Oryctolagus cuniculus: one gene and its partners. The protein of the gene in region 1 purifies or fractionates together with the protein of each later gene. This does not show direct contact. Links are inferred from orthologs where the notes say so. Each region holds a gene or a part of one and is shown on either strand. Other genes may lie near its edges.

The links. Proteins that work in one complex are often made in the same cells at the same time.
Region 2: the proteins of SEC16A (region 1) and SEC13 purify together in Homo sapiens (co-immunoprecipitation; 4 studies listed by BioGRID and IntAct, counting the BioPlex papers as one, with this or other methods). This does not show direct contact. The link is inferred for Oryctolagus cuniculus from reciprocal best matches to the Homo sapiens genes SEC16A and SEC13.
Region 3: the proteins of SEC16A (region 1) and SEC23B purify together in Homo sapiens (affinity purification with mass spectrometry; 3 studies listed by BioGRID and IntAct, with this or other methods). This does not show direct contact. The link is inferred for Oryctolagus cuniculus from reciprocal best matches to the Homo sapiens genes SEC16A and SEC23B.

Annotation. Positions count from the first base shown.
Region 1 is NC_091432.1:236,612,214-236,615,713, forward strand, and holds part of SEC16A (protein transport protein Sec16A), read left to right. Parts: intron 1-41; coding exon 42-189; intron 190-1,330; coding exon 1,331-1,473; intron 1,474-3,500. UniProt on the Homo sapiens protein: Acts as a molecular scaffold that plays a key role in the organization of the endoplasmic reticulum exit sites (ERES), also known as transitional endoplasmic reticulum (tER).
Region 2 is NC_091441.1:116,549,339-116,552,838, forward strand, and holds part of SEC13 (protein SEC13 homolog), read left to right. Parts: intron 1-384; coding exon 385-429; intron 430-1,567; coding exon 1,568-1,683; intron 1,684-1,946; exon of another isoform or gene 1,947-2,853; intron 2,854-2,936; exon of another isoform or gene 2,937-3,307; coding exon of another isoform or gene 3,308-3,339; coding exon 3,340-3,491; intron 3,492-3,500. UniProt on the Homo sapiens protein: Functions as a component of the nuclear pore complex (NPC) and the COPII coat. At the endoplasmic reticulum, SEC13 is involved in the biogenesis of COPII-coated vesicles.
Region 3 is NC_091442.1:43,327,358-43,330,857, forward strand, and holds part of SEC23B (protein transport protein Sec23B), read left to right. Parts: intron 1-475; coding exon 476-553; intron 554-3,014; coding exon 3,015-3,176; intron 3,177-3,500. UniProt on the Homo sapiens protein: Component of the coat protein complex II (COPII) which promotes the formation of transport vesicles from the endoplasmic reticulum (ER).

The sequences.
Region 1 (3,500 bases):
GTGCGGAGCTCACGTCACGACGTGACTGCTGTGTTCCCAAGAGTCAGCTATACAGAAGTCACGCTGTCCTCGGCGACGCCTACGAGGCCCCGCCCCCGCCCGGCTCCTTCCACGGGGATTACGGGTATGGCCCCTACGGCGGCGGCGGCAGCAGCTTCCCGGAGTACAGCTGGCCCGCCATGGAGCAAGGTGTGTGCTTGGTGGGGACGAGGGCCGGGTCGGCGTCTGGCCGGCGTCGTGCTGGCCGTGCGGGCAGCGCTCGGGGGGCAGGGCGGCCGGGCGATGGCCGGGCGATGGCCGCTGGGCTCCAGGTCTCGGAGCCCCCGGCCCGGCCGCGCCTGCAGGCTCTTGGGTGCTGCCCTGCCGTGGGTGCAGGGGGCGTCTCCACCCTGCAGAGCCGCGCTCTGTTTTTTTGTTTTGCGGGAGGTGTTGTGCCTGGGCCGGGTGGGCCCTGGAGCCAAGGCGGAGACGGCGGGGGCGGGGCGAGAGGGGCGGGGCGGGGCCAGGCTGCTGTACTGCAAAACTGCGCAGGGTCCTTTCTGGTGTGTTTGTGTAGAGACTTATTCTTTATTTTTGAAAATGTTTATTTGAAAGAGTTACACAGAGAAAGAAGGAGAGGCAGATACAGAGGGAGAGAGAGAGAGAGAGAGAGAGAGAGAGGTAGGTCGGTCTTCCATCCACTGGTTCACTCCCCAACTGGCTGCAATGGCCGGAGCTGCGCCCATCCAAAGCCAGGAGCCAGGAGCTTCTTCAGGTCTCCCACGCGGTGCTGGTTCGAGTCCCGGCTGCCCCACTTCCAATCCAGCTCTCTGCTGTGGCCTGGGAAAGCAATGGAAGATGGCCCAAGTCCTTGGGCCCCTGCATCTGCATGGGAGACCTGGAAGAAACTTTTGGCTCCTGGCTTCGGATCGGTGCAGCTCCGGCCATTGTGGCCATCTGAAGAATGAACCAGCGGATGGAAGACCTCTCTCTCTGTCTCTGTCTCTCTCTGTAACTCTTTCAAATGAATAAATCTTTAAAAAAATAAAAATAAAAAAAAAATATGTGGAGCAGCCGGGACTTGAACTGGTGCCCGTGTGGGATGCCAGCACTGGAAGCAGAGGCTTTACCCACTATGCGTGGTCGCTCGGCCCCGCCTCTGGGTTCCTCGTGGGTTGACAGCTTCCGTCTTTCTCTGACGTGGGCTGCAGTGCTGCTGGTCAGCAGGGTGTGTGACACCTGGAGACTCGGCCTTGAAGGCCGGCTTGTCCGCCGTGCCCTGGCACCCCAGGTGGCTGCTGTCGCTCTGGGCGGGAACAAGCGGCGCCTGTCTCTGTCGGTCCCGATGCAGCTCCATCGCGACCGGGCTCTCCCGAAAAGTTCCCGGTGCCTCACCTCTGCGCCAGGTTCGGTCCCGGCGGTCAGCTCATCAGAGTGATGCCAAACCTGCCCTCGGAGGGGCAGCCGGCACTCGTGGAGATCCACAGCATGGAGGTGAGGCCCGAGCAGGGCGGCCCGCGGCATGGCCGGCCCTGTGCCCTGTCCCCTGTGCCCCTGTCCCCTGTGCCCCTGTCCCCTGTGCCCCTGTCCCTGTGCCCCTGTCCCTGTGCCCCTGTCCCCCGTGCCCTGTCCCCTGTGCCCCGTGCCCTGTCCCCTGTGCCCCGTGCCCCTGTGCCCTGTGCCCTGTCCCCCGTGCCCCTGTCCCCGTACCCTGTCCCCGTGCCCTGTCCCCCGTGCCCCTGTGCCCCGTGCCCTGTGCCCCGTCCCCTGTGCCCTGTGCCCCGTGCCCCTGTCCCCCATGCCCCTGTCCCCTGTGCCCTGTACCCTGTCCCCCGTGCCCCTGTGACCTGTGCCCCTGTCCCCCATGCCCCTGTCCCCTGTGCCCTGTACCCTGTCCCCCGTGCCCCTGTGACCTGTGCCCCTGTCCCCCGTGCCCTGTGCCCCTGTCCCCTGTGCCCCGTCCCCCGTGCCCCTGTCCCCCGTGCCCCGTGCCCTGTGCCCCGTGCCCTGTCCCCCATGCCCCGTGCCCTGTCCCCCGTGCCCCTGTCCCCCGTGCCCCTGTGCCATGCCCCGTCCCCCGTGCCCCTGTCCCCTGTGCCCCGTGCCCTATGACCCGTGCCCCTGTCCCCCATGCCCCTGTCCCCCATGCCCCGTGCCCTGTCCCATGCCTGTCCCGTGCCCTGTCCCCTGTCCCCGTCCCGTGCCTCCTCGAGTCGTCCTCTCTGATGTGCAGTGTGGGGCTCTCCGGTTCTTCTTCCTTTTGGTTGTGGTTTTTTCCTCCCAGAAATCAAGGTTTTAAGCATGTGTTTTGGGTTCAGATTGGTTTTTTTTCTTTTTTCTTTTTCTTTCTTTCTTTTTTTTTTTTTTTTTTGACAGGCAGAGTGGACAGTGAGAGAGAGAGACAGAGAGAAAGGTCTTCCCTTGCCGTTGGTTCACCCTCCAATGGCCGCCGCGGCTGGCACGCTGTGGCCGGCGCATCGCGCTGATCCGAAGCCAGGAGCCAGGTGCTTCTCCTGGTCTCCCATGGGGTGCAGGGCCCAAGGACTTGGGCCATCCTCCACTGCACTCCCTGGCCACAGCAGAGAGCTGGCCTGGAAGAGGGGCAACCGGGACAGAATCCGGCGCCCCAACCGGGACTAGAACCCGGGGTGCCAGTGCCGCAGGCGGAGGATTAGCCTAGTGAGCCGCGGCGCCAGCCCAGATTTGGTTTTAATGTAGATTTATTCACCTGAAGGAGGACGAGTGAGCTTTCCACCACGAGTTCGTCCCCCGGTGCCTGCACACAGGCCGGCCGCTGCCAGGCGCTCCATCGGGAACTCGGGGCTGAGTGTGGGAGCACGGAGCCCGGGACACTGGCCGGCGTGGCCTGGCCGGCGTTTGCAGGGAGCTGCGTGGGAGCGCGAGCAGCTGAGGGGGCAGGCACTTGGCTGTGGGCGCTGAGCCCGCCCCGCGTGCCCGTGGGTGACTCTCTCCTCTTTACTGTGTTTTTGCTAAGGTGTTTCACTGTTGTGCTTTCTACTTTAATAGATTTATTTATGTGGAAGGCAAAGCGATAGAGGAGACACAGCTGTTGCATGTGCTGGTTCCTCCCCAAATGGTCACAACAGCCAGGGCTGGGCCAGGCCCGGGCCAGGGGCCAGCAGCTCCGGGCCTGATCTCCCACGTGGGTGACAGGTACCATCTGCTGCCGCCTTCCCAGGCACATAAGCAGGAAGCTGGAGCCGAAGTGGAGCAGCCGGGACGCACCCCGAGCCCCAGGCGGTGGCTTAACCCGCTGCACCACAGCTCGGCCCTCATCTTCTGTAGCTGTTTGAGAGGCAAAGAGACCGAGGTCTGGCTGCTGGCTCACTCCCTGCACGCCCACAATGGCCGGGGCTGGGCCAGGGCCGGGCCGGGAGCCAGGAGCCCCAGCCCGGTCTCCCGTGTGGGTGGCAGAAACCCAGGTAGTTGAGCGGTCAGCTGTTCCCTCCCAGGGTGGAATCGAGGGTGGAGCCAGGACCACCAGGCCCCCGCCAGTGGCC
Region 2 (3,500 bases), on another chromosome or scaffold:
GGGTCAGCGCTTTGTTCATCAGCAACTGCGGGGCGCCCCGTGCTCTGTCACCCAGGAGGGCAGCGGTGGCTGGGCGGCCCCCAGCCCCGAGCCCCGTCTGGCCCCATCCGTGCTCTGAGACCCCTCCCCAGCCTGCTCTCTCCCCGTGCCACCCGGCCAGTCCCTCCTCAGCGGCTGAGCCCCGCCGGCTCCTGCGCACCCGGAAGCCCCCGCGGGAAGAGCTGACTGCCGTGTCAGGGTGACTTTTGTGCACGTTTCTCAAGGGCAAGGCCGCTCGTGTTGGCTCAAAGAAGGTCGTTGGAGCGATTGTCCTGGGCGAGGGGCGCAGACGCGGCGAGGGGCGCGGTGACGGCTGGGTAATGGACTGCCTGTCTTTGGTCGTAGGTGTCCGTCATCAACACCGTGGACACCTCGCACGAGGACATGATTGTGAGTACTCGCCGGCGGCCGCGGGCCCGTTTCTGTGAGAGGAAGCGCTTGAGTTCTTCGTCGCCCTCCCCGATGGGTGGTTCAGCGGCGGTGGCTGGTCCGCCTCCCGGCAGTGCCCTGTGAGCTGGCAGGGCCCTGGTCGTGCGGGCTCCCCTTTTCTGGGGACCGATGGTAGCTTCAGGCCCTCGGTCCTCCGGCTGCCGCTGGTCTCCCCTCTGTCTTCCTCCTGCCACTGCAGCCTGGCCCCACTGGCAAAGGCGGAGCCCGAGAGGACTGCTGTGGGACAGCAGAGCAGACAGGAGTCCTCATGCAGGGCGTGGCCCGAGGCAGGGCGCAGGAGAAGGCCCGGGGCTAAAGTCCACAGCAGGAGGAATACTCTGGCCCCGCCGTGCGGCAGCCTGGGAGCGAGACCTGGTCCTGGGTCCCTGGGCCACGGACAGCGTCTCCTGCCTGCGTTGCTGCCCTCACGGCCTGTCACCTGCCGCCGCTTTGGGTTGCTCAGGTCGCCTGAACTCCCTCAGGAGTGGTTCAGCTGTCGGCCACATGGTACCAGGGGCGGGGGTCTGAGGCTCCCTAGGCAGCGGCTTAGCTAGCAGGCCTCCATTTCTTCGGGGGGAGACCGCCGCTGTGCCCCGCTTGCACGGTGTGGTCTGAGGAGCAGGTGAGCAGAGCGGCAGTGAGGAACTTGCTCGCTGTGCGCCAGGCCCGTGCTAAGCGCTCGTCATCCAGCGGCTCCTTGAGCCTTCCCAGTGGCCTCTGCAGCAGGTGCCACTCGCGGTGCCGCAGATGAACTCAGAACCGTGGGCAGGGCCAGGCCTGGATCTGGGTGGTTTGTGGGCATCCGAGGGTGGTGCCAGTGTCTGAGTAACTGGCCCGCTCCTTGGGAAAAGGACAAGCGTGAGGGAACCCAGGGACAAAGACCCGTGCGGGACCCAGGGCCCAGATGGAGGAAGGAGCCCAAAGGGTCTGTGAGCCCAGCTGGCTGCGGCCTCGCAGAGCAGTGAGGAGGCCGCCTTGCCGGCTTCCCGCCTGAGGTGCCGGTCCCAAGTGGGTAGACCGTGATCCACGCTAGCCCCGCCCCTGTGTGCGCACTGCCCCGCCCCCGCAGGCCCCCAGAATTCCCCGTCTCCCTTTGCAGCACGACGCACAGATGGACTACTACGGCACCCGCCTGGCCACCTGCTCCTCCGACAGGTCCGTCAAGATCTTCGATGTGCGCAACGGAGGGCAGATCCTCGTCGCTGACCTCAGAGGGTGAGTGCCCAGGGGGCGGGCGCCGCCAGGGCACAGGCAGGGGAGGAAGTGAAAGCCCGGGTTCCAGGCACCCCGAAGTGTGCTCAGCAGTGAGGACGCCCGGCTGCCCCCAGCACACAACAGGTGGGCCAGGCAGCGGCTCTGCGGGGCTCTTCTCAGGAAAACCCGGGGCTGGCGAGGTGTGACCTCTCAGCCCTGGTGTGCCCCCTCAGGTGGGCCCCGCCTTCAGGGGCCACTGCCCCGCCTTGACAGGTGGAAGCTGTACTGCTGTGTGCAGGCGTAGCCAGGGCGACCGACGTGTCACTCGGGAGCGGCACTGCAGGGGCCGTGCAGGCGGCAACGTTGGGATGGCCATGGCTCTGCCTGTCGGCCTGCGCAGGGGTCCAGGGCCGTTCACACGCACCACGTCACTCCTCTCGGAAGCCCTGGCCCATGTTTGTGGTTGCCCCCCCCCCCCCCCCCCAGGGTGCTGCCTTGCACAGCACTGCAGGTTTCGGGAGTTTGTTTTTTTTTTAAGGTTATTTATTTGAAAGTCAAAATTGCACAGGCAGAGAGACAGAGAGAGAGACCTTCCATCCGCTGGTTCACTCCCCAGCTGGCCCGCAAGGGCTGGAGATGGGCCAGGCAGAAGCCAGCAGCCAGGAGCTTCTCCTGGTCTCCCTGTGAGAGTGCAGGGGCCCAAGCACTTGGGCCGTCCTCCACTGCCCTCCCAGGTACCATACCAGGGAGCTGGGTCAGAAGCGGAGCAGCCTGGCCTTGAACCAGTGCCCACGTGGGACGCCAGCGTTGCAGGCAGCAGCTTAACCCGCTGCGCCACAGTGCCGGCTCCCACATGAGTTTCTTATGCTCTGAGAATGTTAGGCGCTAGACGGTGACAAACTTCACACCCCCGTCCTTGACTGCCTCGGTCAGCGCTGCGTGGGACGGGAGTGAGCCGTCGTCCCCGGAGGGGAGCGCTGCTGGCTCGTGGTCAGTGGTTTTCCTTCTGCTCGTCCTCTCGGCTCTGTCCCTGAGCGAGCACGGACACTGAACCCCCAGCCTAGCTGTGAGGGAGCCTTCCGGACGCCTGCGTTCCAGGTAGAGGTAAAGCCACAGAGCGCCTGTGACCCTGGCCTGAGTCAGAGCCAGCAGGGGGCGTGACAGCAGGTGAAGGCCGTCGCGAACACCCAGGTAGACAGTGCCGCCTCGGCAAGGTGACGGGGAAGGCGGGCGAATGGTGGCTCCGCCTTGCGGTGCCCGTCGCGAACACCCAGGTGGACAGTGCCGCCTCGGCAAGGTGACGGGGAAGGCGGGCGAATGGTGGCTCCGCCTTGCGGTGCCCCTGAGCCCCAGGCGCACCTGCTGGGGGATTGACGCCCGTGCCGCAGTCAGCGGAGCTGCCCTGGCTGCAGATCTGGTGCAGGTGAGATCCCTGCCTGGCCGGCCACGGACACTTCCAGAGTCCTCACTCCGCGCAGGGCCGCGTGGCCTCGGGGTCCTGCCGTCCACAGGGCATCCCGAGGGCAGTGACGCTCCACGGCTCTCGCGTGGAAGTGCTCAGGCAGCCGTCGGCTCTCCCTGCCCAGGAAGTCACTCATCTCCGCCCAAGGAGACGCCCGGCCGGGGCACCTGGGTCGTTGACCACATGGCAGCAGCCTCTGTCCCCTCCCCTTGCAGGCACGAGGGTCCTGTGTGGCAGGTGGCCTGGGCCCACCCCATGTATGGCAACATCCTGGCATCTTGCTCCTACGACCGGAAAGTCATCATCTGGAAGGAGGAGGGCGGCACCTGGGAGAAGACCCACGAGCACTCGGGCCACGACTCCTCAGGTGACCGAG
Region 3 (3,500 bases), on another chromosome or scaffold:
TGCCTCTTGATGCCTGAGAGACACTAGTCTAGACTCAGTAGGTGGCAGAGTTAAGACTGGAACATAGAGGTCGGCACTGTGGCACAGCGGGTTAAAGGCCTACAGCGCCAGCTTCCCATATGGGCACCGGTTTGAGTCCCAGCTGCTCTGCTGTCTGATTCAACTTTCTGCTAATGCACCTGTGAAAGCAGCAGAGGATGGCCCAAGTCCTTGGGCCCCTGCACCCACCTGAGAGACCCAGAAGAAGCTCCTGGCTCTTGCTCCAGATCAGCTCAGCTCCAGCTGTTGAGGCCATTTGGGGAGTGAACCAGTTTATGGAAGACATCTCTCTATCTGTCTGTCTCTCTCTCTCTGTAACTCTTTCAAATAAATAAATCTTTAAAAAAAAAAAAAAAGAAGACGACTGCATTTTAACACCTGACACTATCTTAGTTTTTTGTTTGTTTGTTTTTAATAATATGTTTCCTTTCCACAGTGTCAGAAGTTTGGACAGTATAACAAAGAAGATCCCTCTTCTTTCAGGTTATCAGATTCCTTCTCTCTATATCCTCAGGTAAGTAATACACATTTTTAAGAATTCCTGCAGAGTAACCATTGCAGTAAAGTGAAGAGTGTGTTCCATTTCCAACCTCTATGAGGAGCTGTAGGAGTTTTATTAACTGAAGACCAGGTTGTGTGTGTGAGGCACGACCCCAGGCCCTACAGAAGACAGCAAGAACAGTCAGGAGAAAACAAGTGCATCTAGTGTCCTGAGAAGGCGAAGCAGGGTCTTTGGCAGTAGGCCACAACCAGATCTCTAATTTGCAGAAGTTAGTTCCCTCAGCAGCAAACCAGCAAAGTGAGGGCAAGATGATTTAACAGAACGAAAACACAGTTAGTATGACAGGTTATTAACATAACATGACAAGCGTTTCGCAGTGAGTCTGTGGTTATCCAGCTGCGTCCTATTTAGGCATCGGTAGTTAGCAGCTCTGAAAGTAACTACAAAAGGCTGAAACGAAGCACATGGCTGCCCCTGGGCAAGGGAAGAGAGGAGAGAAGTGGATGGAGCAGGAAGCTGCTCTCATGGACCTAGGTTTCCACGTTTCCCAGACTTCCGCCTTTGTCTGTGAGTGAGCTAGAGCTGAGCTCTGTGGCTGGCTTTGAGGGCTCCATCAAGTACTGAAACCTGGTGCGGTGCCAGCCACCTGTTCAGTGCTTCGTGTGAGCCAGATGACAGCAGGAGCCTGGGACTTGCCGGGGTCTGTGCCCGGCAGGTGGAGGCCAGGTGGAGTTTGTGAAGATCAGAGCAGAGTTTCAGCTCTCGCCCCACCACTGCTATCACAGGTGAGGTCCCAACCCCTGTGGATTTCAGTTTAGAAGGGAGGAGTTGGTCTGGAGAAGTGATTTGCAGTCCTTTCTCCAAGGGGCCCTCCTCAAAAGCTAGCACGTAAAGTAGAGGGACTGGATGCCACTCTGTGCCCATGCACCCCACCCACCCAGTGGCTCCCCCAAGCAGTGCCCTTAGCATTCGCTTCACTGAGATTCTTGAAGAGCAGTTGGAAAACCAGCAGATGAGGTTTTCCTAAGGAGTCTCTGTCAAGGCATTCTAGGATAGACGTCAGGAGCCCAGTCTCTAGAGCCAGTGGCCTGGAGGAGAGTCCCTCGCTGCCACTGCATAGTGCAGTGACCTGGGGCAAATTGGTCACACCTGTCTGCCTCAGTTTCCTCAGCTGTAAATAAGGAGAACTCGTGGGTTTATTGGAAGGATTCAATGATTCTTGGCAAGCACGTCGTGCCTTGCACGTAGAATCTACTGAATGTCAGGCACATTAGTCTTTAGTAGCCTGTGGTTTAATTCTGAGCCTCAAGAAGCTTTGTACTTCTCAAGGCAGCTCACTGTCACATGCTGGCAGCTCTACACACTGAGCGAAAAGTCTGCCCCCCAGCCCCCTGTAATTCTTGGGGTGAGGACCATGACCTCCCCAGCATTGTCTCTCCCCTGTGCCTGTCACTGCAGCCCCAAGGACTAGCTTGCGCCCTGAGCTCTCATCTGCCCTTCCTAGGCCTGCAGTCCCCTCTCTCTGACCTCCAGCCATCCCATTCATGTCTTTCAGGATCTATCTTCAACTCCACAGCTCTGGGTAGTGGGCTGGCCCGTCACCACCCCCACCTGCTGTAGTACTTTCAGTGCTGTGGCTGGTGATGTGAGGATGCCCCAGGGGGCTTTTTCCCCATGGGACCTGACTTCTCAGAGAGCAGATATTCTGTCTGCACAGACCAGATGCTCTGGAAATTAAGTGTTTCTTGACCTTTTCCCTTTCACGTGGAAGCTCTGCCATATCCCGAGGACCTTTAAACATTGTTTAAATCATAGTCAAAAACATGTAACTTTAAAATGCACCCAGAAACGTTAACCATTTGGGTAGTGTTAAGTTTATTCACGTTGTTACCCAGCAGATCCCAGGGGGTCACATCTTGGGAAACCGAAATTCTCTTTTTCTTTTTCTTTTTTTTTAAAGGTTTATTTATTTATTTGAAAGTCAGAGTTACACAGAGAAGGAGAGGCAGAGAGAGACAGATTTTCAGTCTGCTGGTTCACTCCCCCAGTTGGCCACAATAGCCGGAGCTGTGCTGATCTGAAGCCAGGAGCTTCTTCTGGGTCTCCCACATGGCCCAAGGATTTAAGCCATCTTCTGCTGCTTTCCCAGGCCACAGCAGAGAGTGGGATCAGAAGTGGAGCAGCCGGGACATGAACCGGCACCCATGTGGGATGCCGGCACTGCAGGTGACAGTTTTATGCTGTGCCACAGCGCTGGCCCCAAGAAAACCAAAATTCTCAACCCATTCAACAGAACTCTTCATTGCCCTCTCCCCCGACCCCAGGCACCGCTTTCTGCTTCCTGTTTATGTGAACGTAGAGACCTTTCTCCTGAAGTTGGGGCTCTGCTGTGTCGGTGCTGAGGTGGGCCGCCTCTGCCGAACCGCGGCAGGGTTGCAGCTTTGTGCCTTTGCCTCTCGCTTTGTGTTTGCAGTTCATGTTCCACCTCAGAAGATCGCCGTTCCTCCAGGTGTTTAACAACAGCCCCGATGAGTCGTCGTATTACAGGCACCACTTTGCGCGGCAGGATCTGACGCAGTCTCTCATCATGATCCAGCCCATCCTCTACTCCTACTCATTCCAGGGGCCCCCCGAGGTAGGTGCTATATGGGGGCTCTTTGGAGAACTGCAGTCACCTCATATGTCTGTTTTTTTTTAATTCTCCCCTAGCAAATTTACTTTTAGAACAGAATTTAAAAAAAAATATTGAAAACTTTAAGTTTCTGTAGCAACTTAACCTTATTTTTGAGTATTAAAAATATCCACAGGAAAAAGACTGGACGTATAAAGCTGTTTACAAACTATTAAAATAGAGAGTTAGATAATAATCTGAGTGTTTCATAGTAGAAAAAATAAGTAACCTATGAAATATTCACAAAAATTATGTAACAACATGTTACTGAGAAAAATCGAAACAGCA